2 linked regions of the Danio rerio genome follow. The protein of the gene in region 2 interacts with the protein of the main gene of each other region in a biochemical or structural test. Links are inferred from orthologs where the notes say so. Each region holds a gene or a part of one and is shown on either strand. Other genes may lie near its edges.

Evidence for each region. The genes of interacting proteins can lie anywhere in the genome.
Region 1: the proteins of eif2s2 (region 2) and eif2s1a form a complex in vitro, tested with the Homo sapiens proteins (2 studies listed by BioGRID and IntAct). The link is inferred for Danio rerio from reciprocal best matches to the Homo sapiens genes EIF2S2 and EIF2S1.

The regions. Positions count from the first base shown.
Region 1 is NC_133192.1:35,958,931-35,964,133, reverse strand, and holds the end of eif2s1a (eukaryotic translation initiation factor 2 subunit 1a), read right to left. Parts: intron 3,568-5,203; coding exon 3,363-3,567; intron 1,815-3,362; coding exon 1,671-1,814; intron 1,392-1,670; coding exon 1,266-1,391; 3' UTR 856-1,265; downstream 1-855. UniProt on the Homo sapiens protein: Member of the eIF2 complex that functions in the early steps of protein synthesis by forming a ternary complex with GTP and initiator tRNA. This complex binds to a 40S ribosomal subunit, followed by mRNA binding to form a 43S pre-initiation complex (43S PIC).
Region 2 is NC_133181.1:52,639,251-52,644,453, reverse strand, and holds part of eif2s2 (eukaryotic translation initiation factor 2 subunit 2), read right to left. Parts: intron 4,440-5,203; coding exon 4,339-4,439; intron 1,066-4,338; coding exon 917-1,065; intron 797-916; coding exon 740-796; exon of another isoform or gene 1-739.

The DNA.
Region 1 (5,203 bases), on a different chromosome or scaffold from region 2:
GATTCAACCCGAAACTGGCAGTTCCAGAGCACTGATAGACATCTTAAATATTCACAAAACACGTTTCTTGTAAAACAGGTCTTTATATCTGCATGTAGCGAAAAAAAGACAGTTTGTATAGTTTGACCAATAACCTCTAAAAGTCACTAAATATCCCTTAAAACATTGATTTAAACACATTCATAAATCTGATTCACTGAAGCAAGTATGACCAAACTACACTGTAAAACCCAAAAAGTTAAGGTAACTCAATCCATTTGAGGAAGCTGAGTGCAACAAACCATAAAAGTTCAAAAACTATTCCTAATGAGTACTGTGAACTTAATCCATTTGAGTAAACGAAGATATTTGAGCACAGCAAAACAATATAAATGAAGAGAACTTAAACCAACAGTACTGTAAAACCCAACAAGTTAAATCAACTCAAACCTTTGAGTTAAAAAACTAATCTTTATGAGTACTGTTAACTTACTCAATTTAAGTTGAAGTAATGAGGTATCTAATTAACTCATTACCTTCAACACAGTTCAAACTCTTTTCAAAATAAATTTCAAAGTTTGAGTTAACTACACTCATTTAATTTCAGAAAGTTGACTGTTGGGTTTTACAATATACTACCAAAAATAGTTGGAGCCCCCCAGACATTTATTCTTATTTCTTAATAATAATAATGATAATAATAATAATAATAAAATTACACATTTTTAAAAATTTGTTACAAATTGTAACAAAAGAAACAATATCTGCCAATATACCACTTTCCTGTTTAGAAAAATACATCCAAGTGAGAGAAGTTATCATCTTGAATAATCTTTGATGTAATCAGCAGCACAGAACAAGAGACATGACAAAATGTACATGAAAACTGCTTGTTTTTATTAGCTCTGTGGAACAGATTTTTGATAAGTAAACTGGCTGGCTGTCTATAAAGATTTCAGTTTTGCTTGTTTTTTTTTTGTTTGTTTTTTTTTACCACAAATCTCATCTTGAATAAAGCTGGAAACGAAGGTCACTTAAATCAACTACAATACTATCTGTACTAACATTCCTAAAGTAAAACTAGTGTTCATGGAAGAAATTCCTCTCACGATTCTCATCCGATAAGCAAAAGTACATCAATGTAGTCCACATCTCTCACTCACAATCTGCTTAGTATCACAGAAGCAGTGTTTTTTTTCAGTCTTCATGATGTGATAACCCCTTCACTATAACTCTGAAGTCTCTGGAATGATTATAGCACTGCTGGTTTGTCGTCTTTCTTCAGACTAGTCCTCAGTCTTGGCCTCCATTTCCTCTGCATCATCATCTCCATCCACCTCAGCATTTTCTCTCTCCAGCCGCTCCAACTGTCGTGCCAGCTCCGTCTCATCCGTGTCCGTCACAACTTTTGGCTTCAGGGGCATTAAAACAAGTCAAATAATCAGAGAGGGATTTATTTATTTTGCATAGCTCTTCACTTTGTTGTTTTAAATGTGGCCAATATCAGATTTCCACTGTGAACTGCCCAGCATGTGCAAAGCTAAGCAATTCCAGCGTTATGGATTAGACATTTTAAAAAATAGACTTAAAACATACATACACATGGTTTACTGCATTCTTTAAAAAAAATCATAAAAGTTTGGATAAATTGAGGGTAAGTAAACAGTGAATTTTAAATGCTAAATTCTGACCTCCATCTGAATGTTGAAGACGCCTCTCTTCTCTTCGATCTTCTCTTTAATGACGGCCATGGCTTGATTGAGCACAGAAAGGCCCTCTGTGCGCTCCAGTGTGGTCGTGGTCATAACATATCGAGGAGGAGCAATCAAGTTGATCTGCAATAAAAACATTATTAATTTTCCTCCTGATTTATCAATGGTCCGCAATTGTACTGACACGCGGCTGTGGTGAAGAACTACACAGTGATTGTACTGTCTTTAGTACAAACATGCACCGTTTTATAAATGTTTAAATCCTGTAAAATTCTTTCTTGAGGTGCTGCTGAACACAGAGCTGAACAGATCTTTTAACTGCAGTTGCTTTGCGCACATCTTGTCTTGTGGATATGATTATACACGTTACTAGTAAGGAGACATGTTAAAACGCGGATGTCAATCAATTCGGTGGGCGGGAAAACAGCACTCCTACATTACGGTCGGCCTCAAAATGTGAGGGATTTGGATCCTATATATAACGTCAGAAAATTAAAACAAAAGAATTATTGTGTCTCTATCACTCCAATATGACTGTGGACACACTATTCCTACAAATGGTTCTGTCCAAACAGCTTACAAATAATGATTGTGATCATAGGTGCCCTGTAAAAACAGATTTAGTCCACAACTAAATACTGCAATGTTTACTGAGATACACAAATTGATCCTTTTCTTAAACTTTCTTCATTGACAAAATAAAACATCTTGGGTTCAAAACAAAAATTGCACAATACTGATATTATATTAATGTGCTACTCAGGAAAATTGATATAGAAAGAATTTTGCTTCTGTGTAATTACTACATCGTAATTTAATAACTTGATTTATCTTGTCATTATGACCACATTTTTAAAGACTATTTGCTATGTATGTTTTCTTATCATGCAGTATATATAATAATATAAAATACCACACTACAAAACAAATTACATTCTTTATTCCTCCATGATTCTTCCAGTATTATCAGTGTAACACCTTATCAAAACAAAACAAATAAATAAAGTGTTCAAATATTTAAACATGAATGTAATACAGTTGAAGTCAGAATTATTAGCCCCCCTTTGATTTTTTTTCTTTCTTTTTTTATATTTCCCAAATGATGTTTAACAGAGCAAAGACATTTTCACAGTATGTCTGATAATATTTTTTCTTCAGGAGAAAGTCTTATTTGTTTTATTTCGGCTAGAATAAAAGCAATTAAGAAAAAAAAAAAAAAACGAGGTCAAAATTATTAGACCCTTTAAGCTATAATTTTTTCGATAGTCTAAACAAAAAAACCATCGGTATACAATAACTTACCAAATTACCTTAACCTGCCTAGTTAACCTACTTAGCCTAGTTAAGCCTTTAAATGTCACTTTAAGCTGTATAGAAGTGTCTTGAAATATATCAAGCCAAATAGTATTTACTGTCATCATGGCAAAGATAAAGTAAACCAGTTATTAGAAAGGAGTTATTAAAACTATTATGTTTAGAAATGTGTTGGAAAAAATCTTCCCTCCGTTAAACAGAAATTGGGGAAAAATAAACAAGGTGTCAAATAATTCAGACTTTAACTGCATGTATGAATGGTCCATATACAGAGACTCAATATGGGACATCAAATTTCAGGGATGTTATATATGAATGAACTGACATATCTGAAATAATTTGTGGTCTAGTTTTTACCTTGATGGGCATGCACTCTGTTGAACATGTTAGTCCTGCTCTCAAAGCCTCCTTCACTGCATCGATGCCCTCATACCCATAGCAGGCCACCTCAATGTCTGCTCGGATTTTGACAGCCTGTGGAGTGAGGCGTCTGTTGATGTTATCAATCAGGACTGCTCGTTCCTCCTCTGTCAATTCCAGACAATCTAATATAGCTGGATCCCTACAAAAAAAAAAAAAAAAAAAAACACAAAGAGGTGGTTGACACAAAAACATATCTACATTTACTCAACCTCTATTGTAATTGCTTGTTAGTTTTTTCACAATGACATTTTAAAAAAAATGTTGAAAATCCTTAGCCACTGACATCAATAGTAGGAAAAGAAAACCATGAAAGCCAAAGACTACCAGTTTATAACATTCTACAAAATTAGGGCCAGGCGATATGACCTAAAATTAAAACATCCATTAAATAAACATTTTACCTCAATTTTGATTACTGAACGATTGCTTTATTTTAAATGTAATTATTTATCCATATATCCTTGTCAAAAATGGAAAATAACAAGCATCTTGTTAAAGGCAAAATTACATTTTAAATGTTCTTGTGAAAAGTGGAAAAAGTATTATAATAACTTTTTCTTATTACAATAATAATTTCCATCACCTGTAAACAAATGCTAATTACATTTTATGGTTCATATTCTTATTGCATCTTTTTATTGTTGTGCTGTTTCTGCTATGGTTGGTATTTTGCCTTGTAGAACTTTAAGTCTAAGAAAAGCAAATTAAAAATAAAATGTATTATTAAGCAGAAGGAAAGTGAGCGAGTGATACTTGACATGTTATAGGTAATTTAAAAAAACAATAAATAAAATAAAAACATAAAAATAATTGCATTGTCTGCATTTACTCAAACTGATTCGCTGTAAAAATGAAAAGTAAAATGCGGATGGTATTAGGGCTGCTCGATTATGGGAAAATTCATAATCATGATTATTTTGGACATAATTGAAATCACGATTATTCAAAACGATATACAATTGAAGTCAAAATTATTCGCCCATCAATTTTTTTCCCCCAAGTGATGTTTAACAGAGCAATGAATTTTTCGCAGTAATTCCTATAATATTTTTTTTTCTAGAAAAAGTATTTTGTTTTATTTTGGCCAGAATAAAAGCTGGTTTAAATATTTTAAAGCCTATTTCAGATTTTCTGCAGAAGAAACTATTGTTATACAATGACTTGCCTAATTAACCCAGTTAAGACCTTTGAACTGCACTTTGAGCTGTATGCTTGTATCTTGAAAAATATTTAGTAAAATATTATTTGCCATCACCATAGCAAAGATAAAAGAAATCAGTTATTAGAAATGAGTTATTAAATCTATCTTTCCGCTAAACAGAAATTAGGAGAAAAATATAAAGGGCTGCTAAGAATTCCTACTTTAACTGTATATATACAGTTAATTTTCTCCCTGTAAATAAGTAAAGGGAAATAAATACAATAGAGTAAAAATATTAAACAAATTGCGTCTCAAGCATCGTTCTTTACTGTAAGAAAAAAACTTTTTTATTAGAAAAAAATTATAACTAAAAATTCCTTCAGTCAAGAGCAGTGAGTGATTTTCTCCTTTTGTTGTTTGATTAATATTAAAAACAGTCGGCAGCAGGAATATTGCATGCTGTCACTTTAAGAGCAGTGCGGTTCTGATTTATGGTTTTACTTTCACATGTCTAAATTCACATGATTCTCAACTCGTTTATTACACAAATGAGGATTAATATGAATAATCACAAAACACCTCGTTTTGACACGAATTTGCATGTATTTGACCATTAAAGCACTCACATTAAGAT
Region 2 (5,203 bases):
ATGAGGAACACACCAAACAAACTAGCCTGACAGACAACCACCGATGGCCTGATGCTGCCTAATGGCCAAACAGCAGGTTGGTGTCTTTGCCTTAACACTGAGCTGTCAAAACTAAAGTCATCAGTTAACAAAAAAACCAGTGGACTTTTTTAAAGTCTTTTCATGAGATATGTAAATCAGTCTGCTTTACTTTTAATAGCGCCTCACAGTCAGTTATGCCTCTCAATTAATTCATGTTTCTCTCTGACATCATGTGAAATGCCTTCAGCTAAAAAATGCAGTGTTCTGGTGGAGGTTTTCAGACACGCAGACACACTGGAAAAATAAACCAAGAGCTTGCCAGATTGTGAGACAATATTTTGCAAGGTTTGTTGTTCAATGATGAAAAACAACCCCTGCTTCAGCCGTGCTCCCATAAATAACAGTTCACTTACAGATTATATAATAATATATGGACAGAACAGCATAAGCAGCTCTTTCCTGGAACGAAGTACAAAGGTAAGCTGTCGCTCCCTAGAAAAACATTTTTGTGATAATGATTTAAACGTTTTTACTGGAATACACTGAACGTTGATTCAACAGATATGTTAAGGGCTGAAAACCTGGGGCTTGTCATGAAATGCTGATTTTCATGCTAAATAATAGTTTAATTCTCAAAAAAAAGCATCTCTCATCTTTAAAAACTAGTTATTCTGTAATTATGGGAAGAGCCAATATTAATAATATATAATAAACTTACCTTGTACCTAACTCAGCCAACAAAAAAGCCAAAAGATGTTTTGGCTGTCGATGCAACCTGTCAAAATAAAAGCAGAATTGGAGGATTATGAACTATAAAAATTATGAGAAATGGTTGATTTTCCATGTATTCACTAAACAAACTCAATCCAGAAAACGCAGCGTCTGCTTGACTCACAGTTTGCAGATGTCTGTGAAGTTTACGAAGGAGGTCTTCTTAGTGCCGACCCGCACCACCTGAGGAGGCTTCATCACAAACTTCCTCTTTTCTCCGGCGACCATGTCTGGATTCTTTTCCCTCATGATGTTAAAGACCCTGTTCAAAAGCTAAAATCATGTGATATTTTCAGTCACCTTTAATCTTAAGAGCTGATGCAACCAGTCATTATTTAACAAACTATAATTATTTATAAACTCATTATTTAGTCTCAAGAGTAATCAAATGTATTGGTGTCAGGAAAAATGCTTAACATGAAGAACAGGGATGTAATGATTCCCCATAATCCAGTTGAAACTCAATTAAAATATGTGAAGTTAGACAAATTGTACTACAGTGGGGGACCATTATGTTTGCTGCAAACTCTGTTTTAATTTCTGAGAAATTAAAATAATTTAAGGTGCTCCATTGGATTGATAGTGACATGACGCAATATCTTGCTGTAAGTAGCTATCATAAAATGTGTAGACTGTGGTCATAAGGGATGGAGATGGTCATCAACAATACTCGGGTAGGCTGTGGCGTTGACAATGCTCAATTGGTACTAAAGGGACCAAAGTGTGCCAAAAAAAATCCCCCAAACCATTATACCACCAACACCACCAGCCTGAACTGTTGATACAAGGCAGAATGGATCCATGCTTTTAAGCTGTTGTCGCAAAATTCTGACTCTATCATCCGAATGTTGCAGCAGAAATCGAGACTCATCAGACCAGGCAACGTTTTTCCAACCTTATATTGTCCAATTTTGGTGAGTCTGTGCAAATTGTAGCCTCAGTTTCCTGTTCTTAGCTGACAGAGTGGCACCTAGTGTGGTCTTCTGCTGCTGTAGCCCATCCACCTCAAGGTTGGACATGTTGTGTGTTCTGAGACGCTCTTGTGTAGACTTTGGCAAGTGGTTATTTGAGTTACTGTTGCCTTTCTATCAGCTAAAACCAGTCTGGCCATTCTCTTCTTACCTCTGGCATCAACAAGGCATTTGCGCCCATACAACTTCCACTTACTGAATATTTTCTCTTTTTCAGACCATTCTCTGTAAATCCTAGAGATGGCCGTGCGTAAAAACCCCAGAAGATCAGCACATTTAAAATAACTTTAATCACCTTTGTTTTTTCATTCTGATGCTCGGTTTGAACTGCAGCAAATTGTCTTGACCATGTCAACATGCCGAGTTGCTGCCATGTGATTGGCTGATTAGAAATTTGCGTTAACGAGCAGTTGGGCAGGTGTACCTAATGAAGTGGCAGGTGAGTGTATATTTTTATTGTACTAAGAAATGTGCAGTATTTCAGAACTAATAAAAGGCCACTTTTTCCTTTCATATCTCAATTCATTTTGTGAAAAAAATCATATCTTGAGATCTGTATTGTCAGTCTTATTTAATTATAAATTAGGTAAATGGTTACATCCACAGTAAAAAAAAAAAAATAGTTTCCGTTTTAATGTGACCCCACATTGTTTTTTTGGATATTACAATTCATGTAGCTTTAATAAAGCGGATTCTAAATGTAAAAGGTCTTTAAAATTTCTAAGATCAAACTGCAGGATTAAAGGTGTTACTGGCTCAAAGGAAAGAATCAGTTCTGAACTGCCTGAAAGAAGTCTTCATTACTTTCAAGTCTCATACTGGGTTCCCACTAACATAAACATTACAACATTTACTCTAGATTACCTAAGAGATGCTGTTCGCCTCATCCAAACACTTCCTCTCCAGTTAAATAATTTTCAAATATGTCACATAATTCACATCACCTGTCACAAATATTTTTATTGACTTAGTATGTGATCAATTTATCCAAATACTTGAAAAAATAGCTTTTGAACAAATTTGTATGGGGACACTTGCGTATAAAGTATGAAGTAGTTGTTTTTTGTTGAGCTGCTCTTTGCTGACAAAAAAGTTGGTACTCCAACTTTTGTGTCTTTATTTTGAGAATTGTCAGTCATACCCCTGATTTATTTTTTTTATATTTGGGAGAGGGATTTCACTTATTTTTCCTCTCAAAGTCAAATTTAAGACTTTTTAATAAATTTTTAAGACTATTATAAATAAAATTTTGGACTTATACGGAGTTAAACACTAAAGATTTTTTCTAATGGCCCAGTTGCTTCTGTTAATAGCTTTTGTATTAATGGAAGATTATGTAAAGGGATGTGTTGCTTTAGTTTTCTTTCCCGGATTAAGACAATTTGCTGTAAAAATGTGAGAAACAGCTGTTGTGAATTGTATTATTTGCAATAAATATAAAAATATATGTAAAAACATATAAAATAGATATTTTTAAAACATTATAAATAAAATATTAAAAAAACAATATAAACGTATATAAAAAAAATTTGAGATGGATTATTAGTGATGGATGTTGGACCGATTGGGTAGCTTTACATGGACCTAGGAAAATCAAGACCTGCTTAAAATGATTTAAGACCGATGACACAATATTTCAGTGAATTTAAGATTTTAAGGCCTAAATTGTTTTTTTAAATTAAAGACATTTTAAAACTTTAGGAGCCTATGGGCACCCTGTAGGAAGCTTTACCAAATTTGTATATGGCTTGTCTATAAGTTGTAGTTGTGGCCTGGAAGAGTTTGGGTTGTGCTGTTGACATGGGTCTATACACTGCCGTTTGAAAAAGAAAGGTTTTAAAACTCAAAACTTTAAAACTTTTTTTAAGGACAACAGTATCTCCAGCAGTAAAAGATATCCAAAGATGGTGTTTTAAATTGTGAGAAAAAAAATCTGCTTTTGACATAAATGAAGACAGCTGAAGTCAATATTTAACTTAAATTATAGCCTGACATGTTTACTGCTCCAAAATATTTTAAATGTTTCTTAAAATAAAATACATCGTGTTTGAAAGGGGAAAACGTTTTTTTTTTATCCAGACATTTAAAAAGAGCATATATTAGAGCAGTAATTACAATACCGTAAAACTGTGATATTTTTATCCAAGGTTATCATACCGTCAGCATCTTATACCGGCCCATGCCTAGACATGGCAAGCTTTTATTCTGTATTAAAATGTTTGTTTATTTTAACACTAAAACAACAGATGTGTCTAAGTTTAAATAAAAAATGACTATTGAACTAAACTAAAATTGTATTTTGCAACATTCTGGTTGTCCAAGGTTGCTGGAGCACATCTACAGTTTTCATGATAAACTACATGCATGTGATCTTAATGAGAACTGACTTCTACAACGAACTGACTACAACCAATAAAAATCCTCCGCATATCAGTAGTCATTTCCAGTATGTCTCATAAAAGACAAGTTAGCAGGTAAAATATACTCTGCCAATAAATGGACCAGATGGCAGAAGTCTCTGGGCCTTCATCACCTGAAACACACACACAGCAAGCCAGCCTTTTCTGCCATTTACCTCATCATAAGTGTAATCTCTTTCTGATCCTGCCCACGCAGGGCCCGTCTGTGTGCTGAACGTGATGTCATCAGCGTTTTTACTGTCATCATCTTCGACACCTTCCACATAAACAGCACACAATTAGACTGTAAACATTTCATTAGGGCTGCACAATATGTCATTTAAGCATCGATATCCCAATGTGCGCATTTGCAATAGTCACATTGCAAAGATATGCAATGTCTAGTCTGAATTATAGCTGACCAGGAGCCACAGAATTGTATTTAATCACTGCATGTATACGATTTATGCAAGAAAAAAAAAAACCTTTCTTACTTTTTAGTTAGTTTCTAGTCCAAATATCAATTTCAAAGCAAAAACAAGATTTCACTTGCCCCACTGGCAGATCATTTACTCTTAAACTTACATTTATGTCTTCTGACGGTGAAAACAAAACAATATTTTACTTTGTCTAAATAATTTGTTTGATATTTGGATCATAAACAAGACAAAAGGTAAGCTTTTTTTTTTTTGCATTATAATTATTCAATTTCTCTACCTGAATACAAATCGTCAAACAGCACTATTCAAACTGTCTTTTATCTCTTATTTATTGCAGAACAATAAAATATTGCAATATCAGATTTTTTCTAATATCGTGCAGCCCTACATTACATTGTATTTCACTTCATCTAAAATGTACAGAGACTTATAATGCAAAGAGAATTATATAATGGCATCAACATCACTACTAAATGAAAGGCATATGAGTATCTGTATAATGCACACCCCACAACTAGATTTATAAATAAACTTAGGTTAGATATTAAATAAATAGTCTTCGTCACGATGATTTCTGTTCATTTTATACTTATATTTTCTG